2 linked regions of the Rattus norvegicus genome follow. The protein of the gene in region 1 purifies or fractionates together with the protein of each later gene. This does not show direct contact. Links are inferred from orthologs where the notes say so. Each region holds a gene or a part of one and is shown in the gene's direction. Other genes may lie near its edges.

Evidence for each region. The genes of interacting proteins can lie anywhere in the genome.
Region 2: the proteins of Strn3 (region 1) and Cct6a purify together in Homo sapiens (affinity purification with mass spectrometry; 3 studies listed by BioGRID and IntAct, with this or other methods). This does not show direct contact. The link is inferred for Rattus norvegicus from reciprocal best matches to the Homo sapiens genes STRN3 and CCT6A.

The regions. Positions count from the first base shown.
Region 1 is NC_086024.1:74,864,258-74,872,030, reverse strand, and holds the start of Strn3 (striatin-3), read left to right. Parts: upstream 1-2,557; 5' UTR 2,558-2,773; coding exon 2,774-3,052; intron 3,053-3,150; exon of another isoform or gene 3,151-7,773. UniProt on the Homo sapiens protein: Calmodulin-binding scaffolding protein which is the center of the striatin-interacting phosphatase and kinase (STRIPAK) complexes.
Region 2 is NC_086030.1:32,514,624-32,522,439, reverse strand, and holds the start of Cct6a (T-complex protein 1 subunit zeta), read left to right. Parts: upstream 1-3,367; 5' UTR 3,368-3,385; coding exon 3,386-3,522; intron 3,523-4,150; coding exon 4,151-4,214; intron 4,215-4,957; coding exon 4,958-5,092; intron 5,093-5,412; exon of another isoform or gene 5,413-5,547; intron 5,548-5,671; coding exon 5,672-5,845; intron 5,846-6,263; coding exon 6,264-6,367; intron 6,368-7,022; coding exon 7,023-7,133; intron 7,134-7,342; coding exon 7,343-7,502; intron 7,503-7,579; coding exon 7,580-7,662; intron 7,663-7,816. UniProt on the Homo sapiens protein: Component of the chaperonin-containing T-complex (TRiC), a molecular chaperone complex that assists the folding of actin, tubulin and other proteins upon ATP hydrolysis.

The DNA.
Region 1 (7,773 bases):
GCATATCATTTTACCCTCCACCTGCTCCAAACCACTGTGAACAGAGGAGAACCTGGGAAGGGAGCAGGAATGAGTGACTGGTGAGAGGGCAGGACTGAAGAGAGGAAGTGACTCAGCCATCGATCAGAGAGGGAATTCCAGTTAGGTAAGCTCATCTGTGATAGTATAGCTTGGAGAACTCATTATCTAAGAGTTCTAGAGACTCACTTCAGTATTCTCAGGAGTAGTGGGCAGGAAACATGTTAACAGTGTAAAACATCATCTCAACAGGGGAGAAAACTGTATTTTTTTATTGGATATTTTTTATTTACATTTCAAATGTTACCCCCCCCCCCGCCCATAACCCCCCTATCCCATCCCCTCCCCCTACTATATTTTCTGTTCGTTTGTTGACACAGGGTTTCCTTGTTTAACAGTTCTGGCTATTCTGGAACTTGCTTTGTAGACCACGCTGGCCTCAAACTCAGAGATCTCCACTTAAGACAGACAACAGAAGAGCAACAGTTTTCTCTTTGCAGGGTAGGTGGCGGCAACCTTACCTTGAGCTGAAGTGAAAGATATAAATGTGCATCTTGCTTTTGTTTTTTTAAGATGCTGTCAGTGTTCTCAACCGCTGAGCCATCTCTCCAGCCTGCATCTTGCTATTTTGATATAATCACCATCCAAGTGGGCTTCAGGCCCCTAAAGAAACCTCCTTGTGTGTTTGTAAAAAGGTCCTGAGGATGTGTGTGTCTCTGAGCTTCCTGTGTGTTCTCCCTCAAGGAATGGGAATGCTTGAACCAGCTGTATGCCGATTGTCAGTGAGGAAACAGTATTTAGATAACAACACTCTTTCTTCTTATTAAAAAAAAAAGATTTATTTATTTAATGTATGTGAGCACACCATTGCCCCCTTCAGACACACCTGAAAGGGCTCTGCATCCCATTACAGATGGTTGTGAGCCACCATGTGGTTGCTGGGAATTGAGCTCAGGACCCCTATAAGAGGAGTCAGTGCTTTAAACCACTGAGCCACCTCTCCAGCCCCATTTCTTCATATTAATAAAGACCACATTCCATATGGTCTTACTTCCATATAAATATGGTAGTAAGAATAAGTGTAATAGATCTAACCAGTTCTTCACAAAATATAACAACACAGCAGACATGACAAAATAAAATCTATTTCTTTTTGTCTCTGAAGTTACATCCTGAGTGGTCATTTATGTGCTCCAAAGTGAAAAATTTTTAGGCTTTCATAGTGAAAATAAAGGTTTAAAAATACAACCAACTTTATGTATTTCCTGTATAGCTGTAAATACTGTGTATATTTCTTTTCAATTGCTGTTAAATATTGCTTTTATCTTATTGTATTACCAAATGGTTATTAGTTTTCTTTTTCTTTCCTTTTTTGACTTTCCCAGACAGGGTTTCTGTGTTGTCCTGGAACTTTGTAGACCAAGCTGGCCTGAAACTCAGGGGGCAGGCTGTCTACCTCTGTTTCCCAGGTGCTAGGATTAAAGACATGGATCACCAATCCTGGCAGCCAGGTTGTTAGTTCTATTTACTTTAAAAACTTATGAGTTTATGAGGATAATTCCTGTGAAACCAAGCACACAAAAATGCATACTACAGTACTTAAAAACTGACATTTTATGTACGTATTTCACCCTAAAACCATTTAATGATGAAGACATCGTTGTGTTGATTTAATTTTAAGTTCTATTCACAAGACTTTTATTTTGTTTCGATCAAAATTTCTGCCACTAATGACAATATCTGCGTTCAATCACTTCTAAACATCAGTCTCTTTGAAAGTTACCGTTTGCCATCTAACCCGCTATTCTCAAGATTCAAGATATCACTACTTCTCCCAGTAAACAAATGAAGCAATAGCTCAAACTCCCTCAAACACAGGCTATCTTAGAATAATAAAGACTTAAGACAAGTTAGAACTGGCGGCCAGGAGCACCGAAGTGGGACCAAAGAAGCAGGTCGCGACGAAGCCCAGGAACCAGTGAGAACGTCCGCAAGAATCTGGGCTATTTGCCAAAAGTAAACGTCTCCCGAATCTTGCAGACTGACTGGTGCCACGAAACCAGAGGTCAAGTGAGTGACAGGCAGAGAAAGAGGCCCGACGCTTTGGGACTGAGCAAAACACGCAAAGAATTCCAGAGAAACGTCAGGAATTCCAGGGCGGTACGAAGGCCGGCTTGAACCCAGCTCCGAAGCCGAGGCACTTGGCCGAGACCCACGCTGCTCCTAAGGATGTGTGCGTGAAGAAAACGACCCGGAAGCCCGACGCCCACGCCTTCCCCAAAGTCACCACTGCATCCCGTTTCCACGGGTGTGGAAAAGCTGGGGCCCGGCCCCCGAGTGGGGGCGGAACCCAGTCTTTCCCCGCCCCGAAGAGCAGTTCATCCTTAGTGCGCCTGCGTAGGGTGAGGCCGGACTCTATTTGGTTATCCGGAGTGCAGCTGCCGCGGCGTTCGCTACCCAGCATGCTGTGCGCGAGCGGCGGCCCTACGTCCCTCCTCATCCGTCCCTACCCCCCTCCTGTCGCGGCCCCCCTTTCCCCAAAGTGAGTGAGTGAGACGGGCAGATGGAGGAGGGACTGTAATGGCGGCGGCCGGCAGCTCCCTGCTCTGATCCGCGGCAAGCACACCGCAGCGACCCCCTCCCCGGCCCTCTCCCGGCCGGACCCCCGCCCTGCCGTCAGCGCGGGGCCACCGTCCCGGCCCTCTCCGCAGCTGTCGGTGTCTCGCTCTGCGCCCCAACCGGGGCCCCACACACAATGGACGAGCTGGCCGGAGGCGGCGGCGGCCAGGGGATGGCGGTCCCTCCCCGACCGCAGCAGGGACCCGGGGGGAACCTGAGCCTTCCGCCGGGAGCGAACGGAGCGCCGGGCGGTGGGGGTCCTCCGGCCGCCGAGACGGCGGGGCCCCCGGCAGGCCCCGAGCTGTCCCGGCCGCAACAGTACACTATTCCGGGAATACTGCACTACATCCAGCACGAGTGGGCTCGGTTCGAGATGGAGCGGGCGCACTGGGAGGTGGAACGGGCCGAACTGCAGGTACCTCACCCGAGTCGACTGAGGGCTGTGACCCGGGTACGGGCCGGGGGGTGGGGCCGGGGCTGAGGTTCGTGCCCTAAGGGGCGGAGGGGACCTACCTGAGCGGCTCCGGCTGGCGAGCGGTGACGGCGCTCCGGGCCCCCCCACCCCTGCTCCCGCAGCGGCCGGCTCCCTCCTCACGGGCTGCGCGCTGCGGGCATCCTTGGGGCAGCCATTTTGGCTTTTAGCATGGCGTCCGTAGAGCTCCTCCCGAGGCACCTATTGGGCCTCCGGGTTTGGGCCCAGCGCCTCTGAGCGAGAGTCTGGCGTAAGCCCGCTGGGCACTGAGTTTGCGCTTGTTAGCCCTCTTGAGGGTGAGAACTCGCGGAGAGGGCCTGGGATGAGTGTCTTGTCTCCTGGCTCCCGCACCCTCTTCCGATGTGGCGTCCAGCCCCCTCCCCCGCGCCTCGGTACGCACTTGCCCCTTGACAGCCACGCCGCTTCGGGCTAAGGCCGCGCACAATGGCTTGCGGCCGACAAGCGAAGTTTGCCTTCCCCTCCTCTACTCTTTTAAGAACCCAGGATGCCACTTGGATTTCCTTTAGCGCTTTTAATGATTCATTAACTTTAACTGAATATTTCTCTTTTGAGTTGGCTTCACTAGACGTCCCTTCTATATTCATGCTTTTACTGATAGAAAGCAAAACTGGGCTTATCTGTACTGTATTTATGAAATGTCTGCGGAAAGAATTAGCTTTAATTTGGAGTAGAACGTACTTACTTTGGTATACGCTAAAAGGGAGCTAAATGTCCACTTAATGTGATCCTCTGACAGACTTGAGTTATCCTAACTTTTGGAAGGTGGCAATTGCGGGTTCATGCCTTGAATTTTTTAAATTGCTCCATCTGTTTGAAAGGATTATTCAAGCTGTAGGATAGTTAGTTCCATTTAGTTTTAATTTCCTTTCCAGGGTATAATTTAAGCTTAGAAGAAAAAAAGTATGCATCTAAATGTTGCACCTGTTTTTCAGACGTAAATTTCGACATAAGAAATATCATTCGTTATTATACACACAAAGAACTCCTTTGGTGAATTTAGGAAAAAGTAATGTTGAAACAACAGCTTGATTATTAAATGTAGAAAAGGTATCCTCAAATAAATGTTAATCTTCAGTTTGGTTTCGAATAGTAAACCTTTTAATTGCATAGATTAATTTATTTCTGACTCTGATTGTTTACAAACAATATAAACAATTTTATTCAAAACTTAAAAATACCCAGGTGTAGTGACACAAATCTTTAATCCCATGGGTCTGGGAGATGAGGTTTGATATCCGTGAGTTCAGGCTAGCCTGGTTTATATAGAGAGTTCAAGGACAGTCACGGCTACATAGAGTCCATCTTAAACAAACAAAAAAGTAAAAGAAAATTAAAAATAACGGTCTTTCGCTGCCAAAAGCATTGCAAAACAATTGATTGAACCAGTAAACCTTTTTGGTTATGGGCTTTTGTTATTGTTGTTTTGTTTTTTGAAACTGGGTTTCTCTGTGTACCTTTGGCTGTTCTGGAAGTAAGTCTGTAAACCAGGCTGGCCTCGAACTCAAGAGATCCAGCTACCTCTGCCTCCTGAGTGCTGGGATCAAAGGCATGTGCCCTCACCAACTAGTGTTGTGGTTTTGAGAGATGGTCTCCTGTTCTTGGGCCATCTGGAACTCACTGTGTAAAACAGGCTTAGAGGTCCACATGCTACTTCTTTAAGTGTTGGAATTGTAAAAGCTTGCACCACCTCACCTGGCAAACCAGTAAACTTTTATTTAACTCCACAAAGTGGAAAAAAAGTCCACAAAGTGGGTGAAGTTAAATTTTAAAGCAACAAAATACTACCTTCTTTATCTGACACCTTTAGTTGATTTGGTAGTCTTTGGTAGTGCTTAAAAAATACATTTGTGCTTTAGAGATTACAACTTTCAACATCTTATGTCAAAATTGCCTGTGGTCTCTTTTAAATTTGTAGAGTCTACTTTAATATTCTTGGATTTAGAGTTTTGTGGGCATATAACTTTCTAGTATGTTGTGATACCGACTTTTCCATGTGGGTAGAGTGAGGTTAAACTATTAAAAAATTGCATTGAGGCTTTTGCTGAATTGATAAACCACCAGATACTTATGTAGTTTTTGATCCTTGTACTGTTGGTTTGATTTTCAAATTAGCAATTGAATTTGTCACTGAGACTAGCTAGCTAAGAAAGCATCTTGTGTCCAAATTAACAAGTTTTACATTATTGAAATAATTGGTTTTCTTCCATTTCCTTTTCATTCTTCATGAGCTTAACAGTAACAGAAAAGGATTTTTAAGGATTCTGTAGCTTGGTTTCTTTCAGATTGATAGTCTTTGTTTACTTTCCTTTTTTTCTTTTAAAAAATTTCATTGTAATTATGTGTGTGTATATGCATGTGCACATGAGTTCGGGTGCTCAAAGACCAGAGATGTTGGGTTCCTCTGGAGCTGGAGTTGAAGGTGTTGTGAGCCTCCTTGCTGTGGGTGCTGGGGATGGGACCCAGGTACTCTGGAAGATGGGCCATTTCTCCAGCCTGTTACTTGGTTTAAAGAATGTTATATGATGTTCTCTGCTTCTATTTTATTCAGAGATGTTTTCATTATTTTATACTGATACTTTTGGAATAAAATGTTCATGATTGAATTGTTTATATGCACTTGTGTATGCTGTATATTTTTAAAACATTTTTTTGGGTTAATTAATAGCATTTCAGATTTGTTTCTAGAATATTGAATGTTCTTTAAGTGCTGTCACTCTGTGTGTGCATGTGTTGGGGGGAGCAGGACTGTTTAGAAAAAGCTGCCTGGACCTTGGTAGGCTCACACTGGCCTTGAATGCTGTTAGTCTTTAATTAAAACTGCTGTGAGTACATACTTAAAAGTTTAGTGTTAGGGGGTGGATGGGGAGGAGAACAGCCATATAGAATGGGAGGGGCAAGGGTTAGGGGGATGTTGTCCTGGAAACTGGGAAAGGTAATAACATTTGAAATGGGTTGGGGATTTAGCTCAGTGGTAGAGCGCTTACCTAGCAAGCATAAGGCCCTGGGTTCGGTCCCCAGCTCTGAGAGAAAAAAAAAAAAAAGAAAAAAGATGGAAGAAAAAAAGTTTAGTGTTGAATGTATGTGTAAAAAGTGTATGTGTTGTATTTAAGCTGTAAGATTAAAATTATTTCTGTTAACTTTCTTAAAAACAAGACTTCTATTTCTTATATGTAGTTCTGAATGCACTACATATACACTTTTTTTTTTTTTTTGAGACTATCTTGTAATGTCGCCTAGGCTAGACCTTAACTCCTGGGTTTAAGTGATTCTCTGCTTCAGCCTTCTAGGTATCGGGGACTAAGATGGGAACTCACACTTTTTGGCTGTGTTGGAGATTGGTTTGTGACCTCCCATAGCACACACACAGATGGAGGTCAGAGGACAACTTGTGGGAGTCAGCTTTCACTTCTCACTGTCAGAGTCCTGAGGACATAGCTCAGGCTGTCAGGCTTTGGCAAGCTTCTTTACCCCTCAGCCATCTCTATTAGTACAATTAAAAAAAAAAATTCTCTGGCACTTAACCTGTTATCATCTGTCTGTGGTCTTGTCCCTTATAAATATCACATACACAAGTCCCACCCCTCCCCCTTCGTGATTGACCTTCAAATTTCCAAGTCTTGTGACTTTATACATTGTATTGGGCTCAAACTACACTTTCTGCTGTTAACTATTTCTTCCCCCAATCCTTTCCTTTTAGGGCTTTGATCCCAGAACTGGGGAGGCAAAATCAGGTGGACCTCTCTTGAGTTCTAGGCCAACCAGAGGTTTATAGTGAGACTGTCTCAAACAATGGACTCTTTCTTTGGCTTCCATTCATTCCTTATTTCATTTTCTCTGTTTCATCTCCTTTTTTTTTTTTTTTTTTTTTTTTTTTTTGAGACAGATCTTAACTATGCATTCCTGGTTGGTGTGGTGCTCAACTGTGTAGCTTAGGATAGCCTCAACTAATGGCAATCTTCGTGCCTTACCTTTTTTAGTAAAAGGAATAGTCTAGGGCATCTCCATTGCTGACCACTTCTTGTAATATATTCTTTTTTTGTTGTTGTTGTAGTCTGAGGTTCTAATTGTTTTGTGCTTTCACTGTATTTTACTAAAAGCAAAAATAAAAATTTTATTACATCTTGGTTATTTTCTGTGTGCTGATGTGCATGTGGGCATGTGCATGGGCACAGCATATGTTTGGAGGTTAGAGGACCATGTGAACCTAGGTTCTGAATTTAGGTCAGCAGGCATTGTACTTGATAGATGCCTATATGAGCCACCTCCAGTGCCATAATCCAATTAAGTTCCTATTACCATCTTAGTAGTACCCAGATTTACATTTGTTATCTAATGCAGGTTTGTGAGGTTAGTGGAATTTAAACTTTCTGAAATACTGAGGCCCACACAGAGTTTAAGTAATGTGCTCAAATATGTATTTAGAGACAGCAGAAAGCAGAGCTGGGATTTAAACCCAGGACCATGCTTTTAGCTTCCACACTTATTTGTGAGGCGAATGTGATAACCACTACACTACGGAAACTTCCACACTTATTTGTAAATTTCCTCTTTAACTTTTCTATATCAAATTCAACTGTTCATCTCTTCAGCTGGTTGTGTATCCTATTCTCCCTATAACCACACTAAACCTGTTCCATTAATGT
Region 2 (7,816 bases), on another chromosome or scaffold:
CTCTGTAAGGGCAGCACATGCTTTGAACTGCTGAGCCATTTCTGTGGCCCTCTTATGTCTTTTAAAGATTTTCAAATTAGTTTTAGTTATGTATTAGGGACAGTCTACAAGCAATCAGCGCCCACAGAGCCAAGAAAAGTACATCGGTAACTCAATTCTAGCGGATCCTGCACGCTCTTCGAACTTCTGAGGGTATCAGGCATGCAAGTGGTATACAGACAAACAGTAAAACACTCATAATCATAAAATAAATAAATAATGTTTTAATTTTTTTTTTAGACCAGGTTCTCTGTGTATCTCTGATTTGATGTCCCTGGCTGTCCTGGAACTTGATTTGTAGACTGACCAGGTTAGCCTCAAATTTGGAGATCTACCTGCCTCTGTTTCCTGAGTGCTGATTAAAGGTGTGGTGGTCAAGCAAATCCCAGTTCTTGAGTGGGCAGGAGGATCAGGACTTTAGGTCATCTTCAACCAGTGAGTTTGAGGCCAGTTTTGGCTCCATGAGACCCCTGTCTGGAAATGATGGGCTCAATGGTCAAGGTGCTTGCTTCCAGGCCTGGTGGCCTGAATCTGATCCCAAGGACCCACATGGTCCAGGAGGTGGTGGCAAGTGGATCTCTGTGAGTTTGAAGCCAGCCAGATCTACAGCAAGTACCAGAATAGCCAGGGCTCCATAGGAAAACACACACACACACACACACACACACACACACACACACACACACACACAGTAGTCCTCTGACCTCTCTAAATATACTCTGGCATAGATGCAAACACCTATACACACACAAATGAGTGTAATAAAACCTTTTTGAGATTCTGTCTCAAACAACCACAAAACTCTTTAAAAAGATGGGAAAGCAGTTGTTGGGGGTAGATCAAAGAATGTAATAATCACATATCTCAAATGTATCTTACAGGCATCCCAGCATGTATGTGAAATGTCACAGAAATTTTTAGTTGCAAAATATCAGAATAAATTTGACCCAATGGGAAATTGGTGAAATAAATTATAATGTAGTCATTTAGTGAATTAGGCCACTGTAAAAACAAAACAAAACAAAAAACAAAAACAACAACCAAAAAACAAACAAACAAACAAACAAAAAAAAAAACCAAGCCATGTAGTGGCACTCACTTTTACAGCACTCAGAAGGCTAAGGCAGGTGGATCTCTGAGTTCGAGGCCAGTCTGATATACAGACTAAGTTCCAGGGCAGACAAGGCTACACAGAAAAAACATGTCTCAAAAAAACAAAACGAACGAAAAAACAAACAAAACCAGTCTAGTCAGATGTGGTGACGTTCTGATATCCCCTGTTGAGAATGACAGTCACTGGGACATACATAGTTCAGAGGTTAAGCTCCCACCCAAAATGGTGGGTCTAGTGGTGCATGCCTGTACTGCCTGCATTTAGGAGGTAGGCAGATCGATCGAGCGGGGGGCACAGCGGTTAAGAGCACAGGCTGCTCTTCCACAGGTCCTGTGTACCACACTCAGCACCTAACATGACAACTCACAACTATAGCCCTAGGAGGCCTCTTCTGGTACGCAGATATACACACAGACAGAATGGCTATGCACATGAAATAAACAAACAAATAAATAGGAGGTAGGTAGAGGCAGGAGGATCAGGAGTTCAAGGCTAACCTTGTCTGCATAGTGAGACCTCGTCTCAAAATGAAAACAAGCCACAAACAAAGAAAAAGCAGCTCCAATATACGCTTCGCTAATGTTTTAGGGAATATTATATTATCTCCAGTGTCAGCACCGAGTTTTCCTGGGCAGTCTTGAGTTTTCCAACTCGATCCAACATTTTCTTGCCCTGTTCTCTACTTTGTAAGCAGACGACTGACTCTGCAGTCTCCCTCTGCCTTGTTTTACCAGCAGTGATGATGAAACTGCCAAGTGGTCTACAAACGTAAACACGAGTCTTCTGCATGCCAAATATCATATGCACAGCTTTTGCGATCTCTCAAATCTCCAAAGCTACTTTAAACATTATACTTAGTGTAGCCAGAATAGCAAGAGGTTTGGGAATGTCAGTCCGATGACTGGTTAGTTCTTTTTCCTTTTTAAATTTTCTGTATTTCGAACCTATACACCTGCTAAACCTTCTGTTTTCTTTGGACAGGGTCTCACTACGTAGCCATGGTTGGCCTGGAACTTGCTATGCACACCAGGCTGGCCTTGAAGGCACAGAGATCTGCTTGCCTCCCATGTTCTGGGATTAAAAGCATATGACACTACGCCTGGCTATGTATCGTTTCTGTAATGAGTATCACACAGATGTTGAGGGGAATGAGAATTTCTTATTCCTATCAAAATGGCAAAACCTTCAGTATAGCTCAGTAGAATACATCCAACGGCATTATGAGTTGTCATCTGTGTGGAGAAGTGACTCAAAAAAATTCAGCACGTATCGTATCTATACCTAAGTGCCCAGACATACTGGCAGGGGAAACATCTATACGCTTAGTTGGTTTTGTTTTTGTTTTTGTTTTTTAATGTTTAAAGGAATGCTTTCAAAGACTGGGTACCACTGTCCAGCCATATTTGAGTTTTTAGCAGGCTTAGTTCATAACACGTTGGAGGTTGAGGCAGGAGGATTGCTACGAGTCCGAAGCTAGACAGTGAGCTGTCTAGCCGGGACACAGAGTGAATCTTTGTTTCATATTTTTAAAAATTAAGAAAACAAAACTGCCTCAATGACCTGGGCCCTAAGAATAGACTGATTCTTGAGGCTCCTCAACGCCCATCGCACCACTCCTAAAGCCATCTAGTACTTTCTGCCTAGCAATAATGCTCCCGTCAAACTCCGGGATTTTTAAATGACCAGGGTAGAGGGGAAGGGTCCATTTTCTGTGTTCCCACATTCACGGATAAAAATAGGCAAGACAAATGAACCTGGGAAACCTCGCGAGAGTGTGAGGGAAGCATCCCGGAGTCCAGTAGCTAGAGACACCCCGCAAATAGAGGCCGACACCTCTGCTTCCTGTCACGCCCAGTCGAGTGCCGAGGTCGAAGCATCCCTCACACACGAGCAGTAGTGCTTTTCCTGCAAAACTGGCCGCGCAACCGCCACGCCGTAATCCTTAAAGCGCGGAACCGCAACGTTGTGAGGCGAGCACAACGGAACCTTAGAATTCGGAGTGCGGATTACCGGAGAACAAGTTTCTCGGATGCGCAATGACGTCGCGACTTGGCGTGTGGGCGGGCCCAGAGAGACCAGCGTCAGGATAAGCCAATCAGCGGGCACCAAGAGAGCCACAATCCAATGGAGGTGCTCTGTGGGCACGCTGGGGGCGGGCCAGATGCGTAAGACTTTTCGAGAAGACCCGCATAGAGCACGTTGTTCTCGGCCTCTCCCTGAGCTCGACCAGCCATGGCGGCGGTGAAGACCCTAAATCCCAAAGCCGAGGTGGCCCGGGCGCAGGCAGCGCTGGCGGTGAACATCAGCGCGGCACGGGGCCTGCAGGATGTTCTGAGGACCAACTTGGGCCCTAAAGGCACCATGAAGATGTAAGCCCGGGCTGGCGGGCGGGAGGGCCTGGCGGGTCAATGGCCGCAAACTCCAGTCGCTGCCTCCAGGCCTTCGCACTAGCATTTTCTACAATGTTTGTGCTGCATCCCATCCAAACCACCCGGATTCGCGCCTTTCGGGGTTGCGGGTTGCACCCACTTCTTTTGGAGGAAGAGGATGGCGTGTGCACCCTTCCTGAACCCAGCCCCCCCGAGTTTACTAGGATGTAGGAATAAGACCCAAATTTCAGGAGGATCTGTTTTTGTTACCTTATTAGCCAGCAAATTAGTGAAGTTCCCTGAGACGTAGCGCTTGGATTTTTAAGTATACTCTTAGTCACGCCTCTCGTATCCGTTCCTCAAATTACGCCTGCTTTGGAGTCCTATTTCATAGCCTCCTTTTGTCCCCTTTACTCCTCTTTCGCTTTCGTGGGTCTTTTCATTATGTAATTAGTCGAGGTAGAGTCTGACTGATAAGTTATGGTTTGTCTGGAACTCCCAGAGATTTGCATGACTTTAAGAGAGGGTTGGGTGATATACATCACCCCTTGGCTGCTTTGTGGAATTCTTACTTGCTTTTTTATTGGAAAGTCACATTCTTGCTCATCAATCCCTGCCCGTTTGACAGGCTTGTATCTGGTGCTGGAGACATCAAACTTACTAAAGATGGCAATGTGCTACTTCATGAAATGGTAAGAAGCTGCCGTGCTAGGTATTAAAAAAAAAAAAAAACTTTTGACCTGTTCCTTCTGGATAAAATTCTTCATCGTACGTTTCAAGCAGAAATATAGGAAGTGCTGTAGTGGGTGAGGAACTCTGTAGAGTCTCAAATGTGTGTTTGGGTCCTTGGTATTTTGTTTTGGTTTTGGCCTACTTTGTATAGTCTGGGCTAAAAAAAAAATAATAACAATAATTGTATAAAAGATCGCTATGTCTGCTTTAGCTAAATCTTGTAACACAGCTTTAATCCCAGTACTCAACTAGATCTCAGGATTCAAAGCCAGACAGAGCTACATATGCAAAAACAGGGCAGTGGGAAAGAAAAGCAAAAATGAATGATCATCTTTTTACTCAACTGCAGGAGAAATGAAAAATCTCCTTACTTTGTTTGAGATGAGTCTCACTGTGTAAGCCTCAGTGATTACCTACTTTCTTTCCCTGAATGCTGGGATTAAAGCTGTGCGCCTCACACCAGGCTACCTTAGAGTTGTTATTTTTGTCCCTGGGATCATATTAAATTGACCCAATTACCCATTTCCCTCACCAGAACTTTCAGGTCCTGTAGTTCACATCCCAGTAAAGGGAATGTCTTGAACATCCAACCAAAATGTAGCCATGCTGTGCAATCTTGAGTGGGACGCTGTAAAAGAAGCCTTTCTTATGTTTTACCCTAGGTAACCATAAGTCATTTAAGTAGTTCTTTTTCTACCTGCAGCAAATTCAACACCCAACAGCCTCTTTGATAGCAAAAGTGGCTACAGCGCAGGATGACATAACCGGCGATGGCACTACATCCAATGTCCTCATCATCGGAGAGCTGCTCAAACAAGCGGACCTCTACATTTCTGAAGTACACAATGATTCATGTTTCTGAGTTTCTGCTTGTTGTTTGGTGGGCTAATGGTGCTAATTGATGTGATGCTAGCTGAGGGCACACCGTAGAACGGTTGAGCTGCTTAGCTCAGAGAGCCTCTGCCTGTCTGTCACTGGTCTGAAATGAATGGGAAAAAATCACCTCTAAGTAATGATTACATATTTTTAATGGACTAGCCTACTCTGGTTTCTTTTTAAAAATATTTCAAAATGATGTGAATTAGTTTCAGATTACCTGTAGACAAGAGAAGCAAGCTCTTACAGCAAAATGTTAGGAGCCAGTTTTGAGTTCGTGGATTGCACAGTGAACACCCAAGTGTGCTCTGTAGTTCCCTTGGCCTTGACTCTGTGCTAGAGTAAAGTCTGTTCTTTTCCTCTGCATTGAAAGGAGTACTGTGTCCTTTTAAATGTATTCAGAAAATCAGCACACCATCTTAATTGTAGTGAATAGGAGGGCCCCAGGGTGTCCCTTGAGATTACTGACTGACTGGGTTTCAGTGGTATCCTGTTGAAGATGCAGGTGTTGGCACTGGCTTTATAGCTGTTTGGATTATAGGGTCTCCATCCCAGAATAATAACCGAAGGCTTTGAAGCTGCAAAGGAAAAGGCACTCCAGTTTTTGGAACAAGTCAAAGTAAGCAAAGAGATGGACAGAGAAACACTCATCGATGTGGCCAGGACATCTCTGCGGACTAAAGTTCATGCTGAGCTTGCAGATGTCTTGACAGAGGTGTGTATCGGCCTCGTGTGGTGCAATGCATGGGGAAAGTCTGATGTAAAAACCTGTTCTAAGCGTGCATGTGTAGGCTTTTCACAGAAAGTCTGTGTAGAGGAAGGGGTTAGGGTTTTCCCTGGGCAGTAATGATCTAATCTGTCTTCAGCTTGGAAAGATGGAGTTAGTAACAGGCCAGGCTTAGGAAGAATTGACACTCCTCCAAAATGTCTCTAGTCATACTTTGGGGAACTGGTCTGCTAGTCCACAATACAGTATGAATTGTAGGGCTGAGATTGGGGACCTGTGCCACCATAAAATAGCACTTGTGGGGTTTCAGAGACAATTTTCTTAAGCCTTTTCCACTCTTCTGAACAACAGCTAAATAAAGTGTGTCAGGCTCTGCACATTAAATTTATTAATGGTTATCTCATAGGCTGTGGTGGACTCCATTTTGGCCATTAGGAAAAAAGATGAGCCCATTGACCTCTTCATGGTTGAGATCATGGAGATGAAGCATAAATCTGAAACTGATACAAGGTAGGCAAGAGAATGCTTTGAAGTGCTTTCTACCACTGAGCTGCGGGCTTCCCCCCAGCCCCCAGTCCTGAGACATGTTCATACTGGATAGGTTGCTGAGTATGGCATTTACTCTAAGTAGTATGCACTGTGGGGATGAGGGAAGGCTGTGCTGTGTTTGTGGTCGGTGTGATTTGAAATGTGAACATGTATTGATACGCTTGACTACAGTGCACATGTATGAGTGCTGTATCTGTGTATATGCCTGCATGCCAAAAAAGGGCATGAGATCCCATTATATATGGTTGTGAGCCACCATGTGGTTGTTGGGAATTGAACTCGGGACCTCTGGAAGAATGGCCAGTACTCTTAAACTCTGAGCCATCTCTCCAGCCCTGAAAACATTTCTTTAAGGAGTTGAAGTGATCACAGTTGGATAGCCTGCTAGTTGTAGACTTGCAAGCTTGTTTTTGCCTAGGTGGCCTGTCTTGTGTCTTAGAGCATTCCTTTTTCACATTTGACCTTAGGTTTAACTGAAAAGTTATTGAACGACTTTAGAAGCTAGTGGACCTGTATAAAAATTAGCACTGTAGGAATTACTTGATTTTACTTTATTATGTGTCACTTTCCCGTCTCTGTTTGCTAACAGAAGTGGGATAAATTTTCTGTTTTATAGCTTAATCAGAGGGCTTGTTTTGGATCATGGAGCACGGCATCCTGATATGAAGAAAAGAGTAGAAAATGCCTACATCCTCACATGCAACGTGTCCTTGGAGTATGAGAAGACGTGAGTGTGGCCCCTTTGGGTGGGAGGAAGTTAGTGTTTGTCTCATTACCGTCCGCACATCTCATTACAGTACAGACAGTAATGAGACATGGGGGCTCGGTGATGTGGAGCCCACTGGTGCAGCACTTGCTTTTTAGAGCCTAATACAGGGCCCTTAAAAAGCTCATATAACATGGAGATCTCTTCTCTTTTTTTTTTTTTTTAAATAGAGAAGTGAATTCTGGGTTTTTTTACAAGAGTGCAGAAGAGAGAGAGAAACTAGTAAAGGCTGAAAGAAAATTCATTGAAGATAGAGTTAAAAAAATCGTAGAACTGAAGAAGAAAGTCTGTGGTGATTCAGATAAAGGATTTGTCGTTATTAATCAAAAGGTAAGAACTTAAAATTATGAATGAGTCTCACTTACTTTTAAGGTGACAGCGATTGAAGAATGTTTGTTTCTATGCAGGGGATTGACCCCTTCTCTTTAGATGCCCTCGCGAAAGAAGGCATCGTAGCTCTGCGCAGAGCCAAGAGGAGAAACATGGAGAGGTGAGTGGTGCCAACCTAAGAAAGTTACAATTGTTCCCTTCGTGCTTCTGCTTGCTTTCATTTTACTGGCATGTTTTAGTTCAACAGACTTGTTGATTTTCTTCTTTTTTTTTTTTTAATGATTTATTTATGTATATGAGTACACTGTATGTCT